Linked DNA regions of Oreochromis niloticus. The protein of the gene in region 1 interacts with the protein of each later gene in a biochemical or structural test. Links are inferred from orthologs where the notes say so. Each region holds a gene or a part of one and is shown on either strand. Other genes may lie near its edges. The genes, in order: arhgap1 and bnip2.

Region 1 (7,272 bases):
TACATTTCACACCTGAGCCTCAACTCTCGCGGCCCGGTACCAAACGACTCACGGACCGGTACCGGTCCGAGGCCCGGGGGTTGGGGACCGCTGCTCTAATGCATCTGTTGGAGTGTGAAGTCCCCAAAACACAGCAGCAAGTCCACCTCTGAATGGCTCAATAAATAAATGAAGGTTTGGGAGTGACCCAGTCAAAGTCCAGCCTGAAATCAGATTGAGATTGTTTGGCCTTAAACAGGCTGTTCATGCTGGAACAAGGGCCAGTTACTTTAGTTTAGAAGAGTTTAGGGACCAGGTAGATTAGGATAGATTTTCTTAATAAATGAAAACTGCACTTGGTATTTACTCAGGTTTTCTTTGTGTAATATTCAAATTTGTTTGATCTGAAGAACAGAAGTTTAAGAAAAAAAACACACATGTGTAAGAAATCAGCATTATAAGGGAGAATACCTGATTTATATACTCATACAAAGCGTATCCAAGTGTGTTACCTGAAGTGGGCCACTGTCCGCAGTGTTGGGAATTCCATACCAGGCTGGAATGAGTCAAGGTAGGTGAGCATCCACGAGAACCCACAGCAGATGCATCCTACTAATACTGACAGGACCAGGATACTCCAGAAACCTGATTACACACAGTGCAGGATCAGGATTTACAGTTTCTACAGCCTGGATCTCTTCCCTTGTTTTACACAATAAGAGAGAAACCACTGTTGTAGCAACTTGGCTTTTCTGGCCGCTTATTGTGATGTTGAAAGCCAGAACATCATCCTTGTCACACTGTGTTTGACTGCTTCCACTCTTCTCCGTACTGATAAAACATGATTAGTTTTTGTTTTGGTGTTACAATAAAAAACAGTATATACAAAAAACCCAGAACTCTTGGACAGCAGGTGACCCACAGTCTAAATAAACATGTCTATGGCAAAGTTGTTGAATATGTGGATCTCTTTTGTTACTTTAATAAAGATTAGTTTCTAGGATTTTGCAGAATAATAAGTAATGAAACCTAACTGTTGGCTGCAGCCCTCAGATATTTACACCAGTTACTTTGTACAGTACTTTTCAGAAATGTTGAAACATGGTATTAGAGCTTTCTCTCAGTATATGTGATGCACATGTAACCAAAGAAAGTGTAAACCGAGCATGATGGTGAACACAAGTACCTGGACGGAGCAGTAAATACAGAGCTTATACTTACCGAGCATCTTCTCTTCAGTGCCATCCTCTCCTGTCACCCTCTCTGCCCGCAGCTCTGAAACAATCAAAAGTCACTTATGCTGACCAACATTTGTTAAAAAGCTAGATCTTATCTGGTCCTGTGCCAGACAAGCATATGTACATATATATATATATTATATAAATATAAAAATTCCCCACTCGCCCCTGCAGGCGGTCTATCCTTCAAGCTCGGGTCCTCTACCAGAGGCCTGGGAGCTTGAGGGTCCTGTGCAGTATCTTAGCTCTTCCCAGGACTGCGCTCTTCTGGACAGAGATCTCTGATGTTGTTCCCGGGATCTGCTGGACCCACTCGCCTAGCTTGGGAGTCACTGCACCCAGTGCTCCGATTACCACGGGGACCACTGTTACCTTCAACCTCCACACAATCTCAAGCTCTTCTCTGAGCCCTTGGTACTTCTGCTTCTTCCTGATGTTGCTGTCATTCAAAACCCCTACATCTATCACTACGGCTGTCTTCTTCTGTTTGTCTACCACCACTATGTCCGGTTGGTTAGCCACCACCATTTTTGTCTGTCTGTATCTGGAAGTCCCACAGGATCTTAGCTCGGTCATTCTCCACCACCCTTGGGGGCGTCTCCCATTTTGACCTCAGGACTTCCAGGCCATACTCGGTACAGATGTTCCTGTACACTATGCCGGCCACTTGGTTATGGCGTTCCATGTATGCCCTGCCTGCTAGCATCTTGCTCCCTGCTGTTATGTGCTAGATTGTCTCAGGGGCATCTTTACACAGCCTGCACCTGGGGTCTTGCCTGGTGTGATAGACCCCAGCCTCTATGGATCTTGTACTCAGAGCTTGTTCCTGTGCTGCCATGATTAGTGCCTCTGTGCTGTCTTTCAGTCCAGCTTTGTCCAGCAACTGGTAGGATTCTGGATGTCAGCCACCTCCTCTGTCTGCTGGTCCTACCATGATGGTTCCTCCTCTTTCTTGGGTTTCTGCTGCATGAGGTATTCACTGAGCACACAGTTGGTTGTGGACATCTTCCTGATGTACTCATGGAAGTTTGTTTCATCCTGGAAAGTGGTACTGACACTCACCAGTCCCTGGCCTCCTCCTTTCTGCTTCACATACAGCCTGAAGTTGCTGAGGATCCTCAGGACTTGCCTGACGCACTGCAGGTACTTGGTGGTTGCAGCTTTCCTAGCGACCTCTTCATACATATATTTATATATATATATATATATATATATATATATATATATATATGATTTAATATATTACAATGATATAATACATATTTGACATGTCAGCAGTTTTCTAAGTAAATATATTTCTTAAGATGTTATAAGGTGTTACTGACATGAAATTCTCACCAGCTGTCGGCAACAACCCATCCAGTGCACACATGCAAAGAAATCATCCACAGATGTGCATTTATTCATTATTATGTGTAATAATGAAAAATTATTGAACAAATGTATTTAACACTTCGTACAAAAGCATTTGCTGGTGATGACTATATTATAAATATCCCTTTGGATTGACCGATCATCCTACAGTAAAAACAGTCTTTTCCTTTTCTGATCCCACTGATCTGATCCTGATTTGCGCGTGAGGTACAGGGCCGCGCGCTTACCTTTGAGTATGGGGTAGATAAGGGCGCAGAGAAACCCGACCGCGGCCACTGCTCCGGCCGAGCCCAGCACCGACAGCGCGACCACGGGCCATGGTTTGGGACCGTTCCGCCTCGCGCTCCTGGCAGGCTCCTGTCCCAACATGTAACGCTGCTCACTCAAATGAACAAATGAAAATGTCTGCAAACCAAACTTTTCCACAGCCGCGCTCAGCAGAACAAAGCTTTCTTCATACACAGCATGTGAATTCACAGACTCTACGTCACACCGATGACATGCTCACAGTGACGACCCGACTGCTTTTAACTTGTACCAGGAACTGCTGATTACATGTTTGAACTTTTCGCTTCCGCACACAAAATTGTCCCCGAGGGGGTTCCGTTGGTGTAGTTTAAACTGCCACAGTTAAATATGTGGAAACAAGCTTAGCTAGGCCACTTACAGTCTTTTAAATGGTTTTATGTCTGTTTCTTTTAAATTCAGTTGTGGTAAAGTATCAGGCAGAAAGAACAGTTTACCATGTTTCACTCTTCACAGGTGTTGCAAAGATTTTGTGCCTCAAAATCTGTGTGAGCCTCTCGCCCTAAGACAGCTGGGATAGGCTCCAGCCCCCGGCGAACCTGAGCTGGATAAGCGGAAGAGAATGGATGGAAATTTGTAACACTGATTGGCTGATAGTAATCTGCACTGATTGTATGTTGATACGTGTTGGCCTGTTTTATCTGCTGAATTGCTCCAACAATTAACATTTTCATATTTTTTATTCTAAACCGCTTTCTCTTTTATTTAATAGAGAGTTTCCTCAAACAAATGTCCTAAAGATTATAAAGCTCCTCATGCATCGTTAGCAGTATATTTTGAAGTAGCCGCACAGTTGTATCCGTGAGTCCACAGCAACACCATTAATCATTTTCATAATGATCTGAAAGGTACTCTATTATAACATGCATAACAGTAATGATCGGATTCTCTTGTTTCAAGTATGCTTTCAAAAATAAAAAAAAGAACTGTTGAATTAGTTGTTTTTAAATAAAGTACTTAATTAAAACAGTAATTGTTTTAAAATTAATTTAAAAAATCATAAAAAGGTGTACTTTGAGCTATCTCAGCTTTAACCCTCTTCTGTCTCCTCCCACAATTTTGTTTTCTCACGCGCTCTGAATAAATTATTTAATTGGCTGAGCGGCATCGCAGTTACAATTCACGCCATTGGTCTGTGTGTAAAATAGAATATTATCATTAGAATAATAGATATAGATAGACACAATAGAATCAGCTTGTCATACTTTAGACTCAGACCTATTACTAAAACACCACGGGGACGCTTTCTCTTTTTTTTAGCACTTTTATTTTGACAGGTATAGTAAACAAAAACTGAATTGATAGCTTTATTTTGAAAACAACAAACCGGAAGAGTTGCTGACGCAGGTTTGTTGACGACAACAGTCTACGTTGACTTCAGACGCCACAAAGTGAATCGGTTGTAACGGAGTAGCTGGACTATTACGGTAAAACAAATTTCATGATGCTGTTTGGTAGAAACTGAAGATGTTAGAAGCACGCGGGGCTCACGCGCTGTGATGCTCGTGCGTTGTTAGTCGGGTGTTGTGGGGCTAATTTGTTGTGATGAGGTCATTTGTTAACACTGCGGTGTTCTGGTTTAGCCCAACTAAGCGTCGTTTCAGTTACTGAAGCCTCACAGCGTATAAAAGGCTGTTTATAAAACGTGCATCCGTGTGCCGAATATGGTGAATTTAGCCGAGCCATCTTGCTAGGCGGTTTGCTGAGGCGTTTCGCTGTGTGATAATGACCAGCGAGTGTGGCTGCGTTAGCCTGTTTAGCTTTTCTGAATCAGCAGCTAATGACACTGAAAGGTTTCTCCTGCTGAACTGTTTGGTAAAAGTAAAAGAGGTCAGCTGCTCACCTGTTGCTTTTATCACTGGACTGCCAGCAGTGAAGGTGTCAGCTCAGCCCGCCCGCCAAACTCCGTTCTGGTTTAATGCTCTTCCCCCATTCGTAGCATTTTCCCAAAGATGACGTCTCACTTCAAAAATGTGTATATATCACACATTATCGTGTTATGGTAGTGCATCTGTGTTTTCATAGCTTGGAGTGATGTCCCTTCCACTTACACACTACAGTGTATTTTGTAGTTTATTGGTTATGATTGGTATTTACTGGAAAACTACATTAAAAAATAATGAGACAGCCTCTGGGTGTACTTTCATAGTGACGCAGAGGTTACAGAATCAGGCTGATGGTGTCTTTGAGCTACACCCTCTGCAGTAAACTGTCCTGGTGGCAGGCGGAGGTTCTGAATGGCAAACAGAATGCGAAACTATTCTGCTTAAAATAGAGGTGATTAAAAAAATGACACGTTCTGCTGTCTTGTGACAGGATAAGCCAACAGTCCTTTTATAGTTGTGCCTTTCTTTTCTCTGGTTGAGCTAATTATTTGGATTGGATCATCTCTGGGCTTTAGAAAGGATTTTAGAAATATTAAAAGTAACCTCAGCACTTTAACAACCCGGGACACCAGTCACAGTCAGACCTTGCCTGACTGCGTGCTTCATATCTGAAAAAGCATCGTGGTCATTTACCTTAAAACTCTGGAGTGCACCGCTCTTATGCTGGACCTGATAACACTGATTGGTCTGGTACTTGTGTGAATGTGTGGAGTCACATTAACAGACAGACACGGACAGTTTTACAACGTTCAGCCACCGAATGTTTTTAAGTATAGTTGCGACCTCAGTTATATTAATATTACTAGCTGCAAAGTTCAGTCTCATGCCTTTGTCACAGCAACTCTACGCCTGTGAAATTTACCAAACCTGAATGTAAAAGTGACCCTTGCCTGAAAGGCACAGTGTCATCATTTTGACTGATTCAAGAAGCCAGCAGTGTTAGGTGATCATGACTGAAAAGGCCTCTAAAGTATAAACATCTTAAAGTACATTTTATAAATAAATGTAACCCACCAAGAAGACTGGGGCTAAAGCTGTGATGAAATGAAAGCTGTAGCAGTGATTGCAAACATCAGTGAATTGCATGGATACCATGCAGGAAGATGAAATGAGCTGTTCCTTAAATATATGGCATGTCAGAAACAGTGGTTGCTTTTTTGTGGGCTTTTTGGTTGCCATTGTTCAGGTTCTTCTTCTTTTTGTGGCATCCCTCAGGTAGTTAAAAAAAGAACATAAAATGAAGTTCCCCAGCTAGAGGTGATTGGAGTTTAAGCTCAGTGTCAGTCTCTGGTCGGCATTAGAAACTGTGGGGTGTGTTGTGGTGCAGAAATGTTACTGCAGGTACGTGTGCGTGTGTGAGAGAAATGGAGAGTGTGACTGTTGCTGCTGCTGCATGTACATGCCAGTATTATGTTTTTTTTGCATATTTGATGGTGCATGCTGCTGTTAGGGATGAACCCTTAGGTAGTATTTAGACTACTGAAGCTGAAATGCCATAAAAGCATAAAATAAGTAGAGTAGTGTTTCACATGTAGAAATGCTCAGTAATAATACTGTGTTACTCCATGGCTTTTTCCTGCACTAGAGCTTTCTTAGGAATCATTTCCTGAGCCCCTGGAGCATGCTCTGACCAAACTGCTCTCCTCAGCTGCTCTGCAGTGCTGAGAGAAAAGAGGAATAGAGGGGGCTGGGTACTGTGCTTGCTGGATGCTTCTGTTAGATGCTCATATGTACACAAAGTGGCTTTATCTATCTATCCGTGTGTGTGTGTGCATATATATATATATGCACAGATGTGGGTAGTGCAACACGATCCACAAACAGTGCCTCATGCATACATGGTGTTGTGGCTGGATACACTGCATGGGTAAAGATACACAAGATTCAACATTGTCAACATTTGTAACAGAGTGGAGAGAGTCTCGCACTCAGAGAATCAAGGTTACAGAGTAACCGTACGTTCTATAGCTAATAGGTCTTGCTAATGACCTACTAATTCTTTCACAGGTGTGTTGCAGCAGCGGCACATTTAAAAGTTTCAGGACACCAGCCCTCAAGGACTTGAGTTTGACACCCCTGCCCTATCAGATCCTATCCTGAACTAACCTTGTCGACACTAAGGATGCAACTATCTGGTTTAAAAAAGAAGCAAACGCAAAGAAACCTACTTTAAACTGAGCAGTGAGGTGGAAATCGGCTTTCAAGGCTAACCCTTATACCCTGCTCACAAACCGTAGTCCTTGCAGTCCCTGTGAAACTCTGCATGTTTCACATACTGGTTCCTCTTCTCCTGACCTCTGACTATTTACACTTGGTGTCTCCTCCACCATCAGAGAGATGATCCTGAAACTTGAGGTTTCTCTGCTTTTTTTTTTTTTCTATCATAGAGCTCGGAAACTTTAGCATTACATATTTTCAGTGCTTCTCAACTTAAAAAAAAAAAAGCCAAATAGGCACAATAAATTAGGCAAATAGCAACAGATCATCCA
Region 2 (7,686 bases), on another chromosome or scaffold:
TGAGAACGCTTGCTGCGATTATAATAAATTTAAGAGGCAGTTTAATAAAAAATTTGAATATGTGGTGAAACTTAAAATTCATAAGAGGTGTGCATGCTTTTTTTTTCTATTCACGGACATTTTTAGCTTTTTTCCTTATGAACCATAGAGGAATAATGTCATGCAGCTGTAGAGCAGGAGATCTGCAAAATACTAAACATAGTTCTTAAACTGCCATTACTATGCCATTACACCTTGGCATTTACTGGGGCATTTCTCGACCACATTTTGCATGGTGCACACGATATTCCTCACGTGATCAAAAGGGAGGCATATTGAGGGAAAGCAGTCAAAGATCTAGCTCCACTCAATTAGCTTCAGCAAGATAATTAATCAGTTCAGTATGCACATCCAAGTCTCAGAGGCGTCTTTGAGATAATTGTTCTCATTGACTTGAATAATTATTTGTTTGCTGATTTAATTATTTTCACATTTGGAAAACAAATGAATGCGTGCTGGTACATACTTTGGATCTCTTTTTTTTTCTTTTGATGTATGCAGGTGAGTGTCAGACTAAAAGAATGACTGAAAACTTCTTTTCAGAAAATATCTCTTGAGAAATTATCTGGAACCAAATTCAGACAATTGTGTTTTTTTAAACCATAACCTCAACGCGAAGACAGTCAATAAAACATAAAATGTTTCTTCCTTGTGGCATCAATACAAACTACGATGAATCAAAGGCTAATATTTCTCAGACAGGAGGTCATCTCAGGGTTACAGACACAGAGTCCTCGTACACTGACTGGCACGGTGAAAACAATTGTCAGAGTCCTCGGTTCACACCATTACAAGTGCGACTGAGACCTTGCGGCTACTGTAGCAAATAGCACAAATTATGGGGGCCATTTTAATAGCAGTCTCTACTATTTATCATGCTGTTTTAAATGTTTTGCTCATTTGTTTCCATTAAATATTTCATCTTCCCTTAAATATTCATTTAACTTCCTCTTTAAATTTTTTACCAGTCTCTTTGCAGTTGCTATCTTCTTGCCTCCCTTTTAGGCTTTGCAATCATAAATAATTATTCATCTACACCCAAAAAGAGATTGCATAAAACATGCACATGAATCCTTTTTGTCTTTTCTCATTAGTGATATACTTCGAGTAGCCTAAATACTTCCCGCTACCCCACTTATGGAAATTGGTCGGAGAACCTTCCTAATGATTCTGCTTCACAAATAGGATACAGCCTGCATTTCTGATCCTAACATTCATCCCATCCTTTCAGGATGAAAGGCGGGGTCGGCTGCAGATCCCAAGTTTGTGTATTACTTTTAAAAGGAGGACTAATCCTGACATATTATCCATCAGACAATGCTCTTTTAGATTTTACTGTTTTAACCCAATGCTGGGCTCCGGTGGACCTACTGTACTCTGAATGCCTGCTTCCTGGTACTTAACTGTATATTGAAGAAAAAGATATACCAAAAAAAAGAGAGTGCAACACAAATCCACAGCATTTGGATTTCCTAAAATATTTCCAGAAGAAAATTATAAAAAAAATAAAAAGTCATCACATCATTTATAAATATTTAAGATAAATTGGTATTCCTTGGCTCAGTATATTTTCCTTGGCTAAACAGCCAACATTTGTCTTAATTTGTTAGATAATTTCAACTTGCCTTATTAGCATGTAGTGCCATGTTGGAAGGTGAAAGGGAAGCATAAACTCTCAATTTGACTGGATTATCCTTTTGTGATGAGGCCTAATGATCCAGCAGAGTAAATAGCAAAGTGTTAATTAGAAATTACAGTGAATGATCCGCTGCACACAGAGGAGGTATTAATCGGGCTGCATCATTATATTATACTCAGAGTTGTTTTTTCTTTTCTTGTAAAAATAATATATCTAAAAAAATATATATATATTATTTCCGATGTAGCTAATATGCTCCAAAAGTGCCAACTGACCAGCAATGCCTATAAATAAAACCACCCCTAGGTGTGACTGAAATTATATTCTACTGAAATTAACTATTTTCAAAAATATGTACATGCTGTTCACTAATGTAATTATTCCTCAATTCGTATGTCTTTCCTAATTTGTTTTTTAATTTGGAAAATATTATGGAAAGGGCCTTGTAATTGTGGCTGCAGCTGGCAGTTACTTCTGAATAAATCTCAGACTTTGCCTAATTTGGATGTTGCACAGTTCATGGCAGATTTTAATCAATAAAGGCGTCCCCCTAAACTACAACATTTAAGTAAGCATTTGCCTCCACCTAGTGGTAAATGTTGGTTACTGAGGCTAGAGCTGCCAATAAATATTCAATGACTACTGTAAAGACTGGAATTCTGCTGGTAGAAACCACATATTGTTTCTATTATATGTCATGAATAATTAAAAGATTGTATTTTTTTTTATTTGTAATAGTTTTCGATTTTTTAATTATGTTAATACAATAACATCTTTAAATTATTTCTTTGAACTGATCTTTTTCCCAGGTGAACTGATTGTACAGTATGCATCTTTAATGACTTTAACAAACAAGTACTGGGTGCACAAGTTTGAATATAGTTTGGATTTTCTCTAATCCACACAGCCAAAAGTATACATACAGACTCTTAACATATACATAAACTTCATTTTTAATTGTATTTTTAATTTATTTTTTAAATAAATGGTGCTGAAGGTTCTCATTAGTGATCACAGTTGACTACAACTGCTAATTTCTCATCACCAGCATAAAAAGGGTTTCTTTGAGAGCACTAATTGGACCGAACAACACTTTTAAAATGGGAATGTCTAAGGAGCTCAGTGAAGAAGGAAAGTTGTAGATTTACATAAGCTGCAAAGGTCTTGGGGACCTTTCTAAGCAACTGCAGACTCCAAGATCATCAGTTTAAACAAGTGCAGTGCAGGTTCTTTGGATGTGTCACCACTTTGCCAAAATCTAGAAGAAGTGCCCAAACTGTCACCCTCAGATAAGAGGAAATATGTTAGGATGTTCAAGAACAACCCAAGAACAAACAAAACTCCAGCCTGTGACGGTGCTGACCAAGAAGGGAGCCTCTGCTCCAAAATCAACACCTTTCAGCTTGACTGAAATTTACAGCTGCCCACATGGACAAGCCAAATGCCTTCTGGAGAAAAGTCTGGAGAAACACTATCTGACCAAAAAGATTGATCTATGTGATCACAGTAAAGAGCTATGTTTGAGTTTCACAATAAAAGTGAAACTTTCAAACCTAATAACACTGAACCAGCTGTCAAACTTGGTAGTGATATCGTCATGTTCTAGGATTGTTTTGCTATCAGTAGCACTGGTACATTGCACAAAGTGAAAGAAATAATGCAGGAGGACTACCTCAAAATTCTTCAGCTTCATCTCAAATCAACAACTGTTGATTGTTGAAACGTGGACACAGTTGGGTGTTCTAACAGGACAATGATCCAAAGCATGCATCAAAGCTGGTTTTGGAATGGATAAAGCAAGTGGTATGACCTTTCCAAGGCTCTGACCAAAACTCTATTGAAAATTTGTGGACTACGTTTGAAAACTGGGTCAGTGCCAGGAAACCAACCAATTTAAATGAACTCTTTGCCAAGAAAGAGTAAAATAAATTCAAATTCAAACTTGTGCACCCAATTTTTGTTTTTTAAAGTCATTAAATATGTAGAAGGTAGAAAGCTGATAAAACAGAGAGGGCTTCTAAAATACCAATGCCATTGCATTATACACAGGACTGGTTCAGTTTACTTTGCAATATAGTCAGCTACTGACCTCAAGTGACATTATTTCATGTAGTTAATAACTAAATCCATGAACTTTGAATTTCTTTGAAAGAGATGGATAGAGCTTCAAAAAATTTGACTTACACAATAATGCTTTTCTTTTCTATGCAAACAGAAGAACTTTGCATATTCAGCATTTACAGTTAGTCAAACCAAATTAGCCTTGCAAAAACAGAGGCCTACTATACAAGACAAGTCACAAGTATGCACTTCAACAGCTTCATTATTTCATTGGTAATGATGAAAAAAGTCATATTTTAAATATTTACTGAAAGGATAATCAAGTAATCACTGACGAAGTGACTATAATCCGATTACATATCTTTTTAAAAATGAATTGCGCTCAGAGTTACTTATTTGTGTAACCTTATTAGCTAAGAGATTATTAGCTAGATTAGGTATAAATGTTACTGCCCTAATGTAATGAAATCTATCATAACACAAACTCTTTTTACAGTGTTGCCTTTTCAGACACAGTCTCATTAATGCTTATTAAATAAATTGAATAAAAATAAAAAGTAAAAAATAAAAATACTTTGGCTTGACTGACTAACTAGCAGTTACTTCCCACTGTAAGAGAGAACAGTGCGATTCCTAGTATAAATCATTACACGAAATCAACACGTTGCGGTTTTTAACCTTTAACCCACTGCTGCACAAATCACTAATGGGTAGCGAGATGAAAGCAAGAAATACAGTTTGGACAACAGAGCTGGATTAGAGACGTGTGTGAACCAGACTGTGTAGTCTATACCGTGTCATTTCTATGTTTCCAGTATCAGCAGAGGGCAGTGAAGCTTGCTAGGGTAGAGACGCTTCTGCGGCTCATGGAAGGACCATTGCTATTAGGGGTGCCAGATTTGCTCGTTTTCCACGGACCAGAGCAGTCTGAGCCAATAACTCTAGGTATATTACGTTGTTTTGTTTTTTATCATTATTATTACATACTTTTTATCTACATTTTACTAACTTTATTTTATGTGGGACACCCAAAAAGAAGTTTCAGTTTTGAAAATATAATATCATTATGTAACTCGTGGTCGCAGCGGGCCAGTTAAAAGAAAAGCTTACAGTGCACCAAAATGACATTTTAATTAAATTTAGCGTGCTTTTGTGTGCTTGCATACAAAAAATAAATTCATAAATTTTACACGTAACCACGAACTGGGTCGTTTATGCCGAAGAACCTGCAGGAAACACAACTGGCAACTCCGCTGACCATAAACTGTATGCATATACACTATGATAGAGCTAGGCGTTGTTAGCAAACAGTTAACTTCTGCCGTTTAGTAGCCGAGGCTCGTGTGTCGGCAAATTAAAAGGAAGTAGTCTTTGTATTTAACATGGGTCCAAGAAAAGACTGTCCTTACGTTGAGCTGTAGTTGATAACTGCCGAAATATTTCTTTTTTAGCTCATAGACGGCGTTAATTGGAATACAAAGCTTGTTTTGTCGTGGCTAAACTTTGCTAGCTCCAAAGCTAGCCTGACTGAATGTGTTACGTCCACCGGAGAGCCCTCTGGACTTGGAGGAAGGAAGGAAGGAAACTGATAAGTGGGATAACTGCGCACCTATGCTCCTGCAAAGCTAGAACTCTATAGGACTCTTGAGTTAACACCGTGACGCATTTAGAAAAGGTGACTATCTGTAGACTTAGCGTGATATTTGACACTGTTTGGTTAATGAGATATGCTGTTAGTTGGCATAGCTAGCTGCTAGCGCCACGTCTCTGGGCTAGCTGTACAGCAGACGAGAGCTATCCTGTTAGCCACAAACTTCCAAAGAAGTTGTGTAAGTCAGATTTTTCTTTCTGGTTGATTTGGTCAAGGAGCTGAACGGTGATTAAAGCATTTCACGGTCGGACTCTTTAACTCTGATCTGCTGTACCACCGGGACAACCGGAGAAACTTATGGCATCGGATGTGATTGAGAGTGAAGCGGTGCTGAAGGGTGTAAGTGATATGAATTTGAACAATAGCAGCCCAGATACTGTCACACCCAGGGGGACTCTTGAGGATTTGGGAAACAGACAGACGTCCAGCCCGTCATCATCCGGTGTATCGGGAGAAGGCGATGACGAGGAAACAGACGAATTGCAAAATACCACAGCTTCTGCTCCAGAAAAGGGCGAAGAGGAGTTTCAAGACAGTCTAACCAAAACAAGCGGTACGCCACAGGAAAGGAAGACTCCAGACAATGTGCAGAAACAACGAGGAAAAAGCTCTACCCCGGTGAGCGTTCCCCAGCCACGCTCACCAGCTGGAGCCACTGGAAGGTGTGTATTTGGACATTTTTGTGTTTTCCTTACATAGAAGCAAACTATGAAAACATTAGCACAGATATGGTTTAGTCACTCCCAGAGTCAAACGATACTTATGTCGGTGGTTCTAAAGTGGACGTAGGTGTACATGTGACTGTGTTTGTGTGTCTGCCTTTGTGTTGGTTATAGCGCAGTGTAACGACCTGTGTCAGTTGGGATAGGCCAAAGAGCGTTGTATCATGGCCTACAGTCTGTGAAATGTATCTCATACATGTCTCTCATGAATGATAACAAGCCATTTTCAGTCAGAAAAGTATCATAAAGTAGAAGCTGAAATCAGTTTTTGGCAGAGTGACTTTTATATATCCTTTTATTTATTCTGGTAGAAAGTCTCGTTGACATTAAAAATTCAATTTTCAAGAGGGAAGGGGGAATTGCAACAAATGTAACATTTCTTTAAAGCTTTTTTAATTGGCTGACTGGCTGGGTTGGTTATAATATAGAACACAGAGTAGGTACAATATTGCAGAATCATACAACCAGGTCATTACTTTATTTTATATATAACCCCCTTTTTTAAAATTCTGCTCATGACAGCCTGTTCATCAACTTAAGTAAAGATATTAGATGCATAAAAAAGAACACAGAGAAATTGGCAGTCACTTTTTAGCACAACACTGGTCCTCTTCAGGAGGATGTGTCAAAGGTATGGATTTCAGAATTGACAAGCAACCTATCCTTAACCATTTTTTGTCAATACATATTGTTTACTGGGAGCCAATCACTCCTGCGTCTTCATTCCACTTCTCTTATTAGATATTTGTCAGTAAAGTCTTTTGTGCAGCAAAAAATAAGCAACTTGACATGGTGTGGATACTCGAGCTCTAAAACATTTCTAAACTATTTTTAAAAAATAATTAAAAACACACACCTATAAGTACAATTTTTTTGCAGTAATCTTGAAAATTGCTTGTCCAGGAGTCAACTTCCAAAAATGTCATCATTTAACCTCAGAGTTCATCTGCATCTTTGTAGCACTCGTATTGTGCTCTAAAAATATTTGTTTTCAACATCTTGCCAGAAACTGTTGGAACCCAGCCATCCCGAAACTAATTCAGGACCATTAGATTACTTTGGAGATCTTAAGTTCAGAAAAAGCTGTTTCAGTTTAGCCAAACTGTTCATATACAAAGGTTTGTCTAACTTCTGAACTGGTTAAGATGTGAAATTGATAGTTTTCTCTACTTATAGATATTAGTGCACTTTGCTCTACACCTCTCAGGGCTGTATTTTTTAACGCTTGATCAGCCATTTTATTGGAAGTATTGTGAATATTAATTGGAGGGAGCTATAAAGCTAATAAAGAATAGTAACAGACTTAAACCTTTCACATAACTAAAACAGGAAAAAAACGCAGCAAAAATGAATGTAGATGCAACGATAATCTTATAATAATCTTGTATTTGTTTCATTTATGTTGAAGTTATGAATACAAAAAATGACTTCTCATTTAACTGGTAACACATTTAATTTTGCCTTGAGCTTTATTTAAACAAATTAGCATTCCATCTTTAAAGTTTTCCATAGTTGAACCATCCCCCACTGATATCTATATTAATTTAGTTCTTTATTATGCTAAGTATAATAAT

Evidence for each region.
Region 2: the proteins of arhgap1 (region 1) and bnip2 form a complex in vitro, tested with the Homo sapiens proteins (2 studies listed by BioGRID). The link is inferred for Oreochromis niloticus from reciprocal best matches to the Homo sapiens genes ARHGAP1 and BNIP2.

What each region holds. Positions count from the first base shown.
Region 1 is NC_031986.2:1,875,994-1,883,265, reverse strand, and holds the start of arhgap1 (rho GTPase-activating protein 1), read left to right. Parts: upstream 1-4,180; 5' UTR 4,181-4,324; intron 4,325-4,740; exon of another isoform or gene 4,741-4,755; intron 4,756-7,272. Other genes in the region: arl6ip6 (ADP-ribosylation factor-like protein 6-interacting protein 6), read right to left, coding at 492-624, 1,201-1,254, 2,819-2,960. UniProt on the Homo sapiens protein: GTPase activator for the Rho, Rac and Cdc42 proteins, converting them to the putatively inactive GDP-bound state. Cdc42 seems to be the preferred substrate.
Region 2 is NC_031972.2:52,314,041-52,321,726, reverse strand, and holds the start of bnip2 (BCL2/adenovirus E1B 19 kDa protein-interacting protein 2), read left to right. Parts: upstream 1-4,588; 5' UTR 4,589-4,684; intron 4,685-4,864; exon of another isoform or gene 4,865-5,605; 5' UTR 5,606-5,687; coding exon 5,688-6,052; intron 6,053-7,686.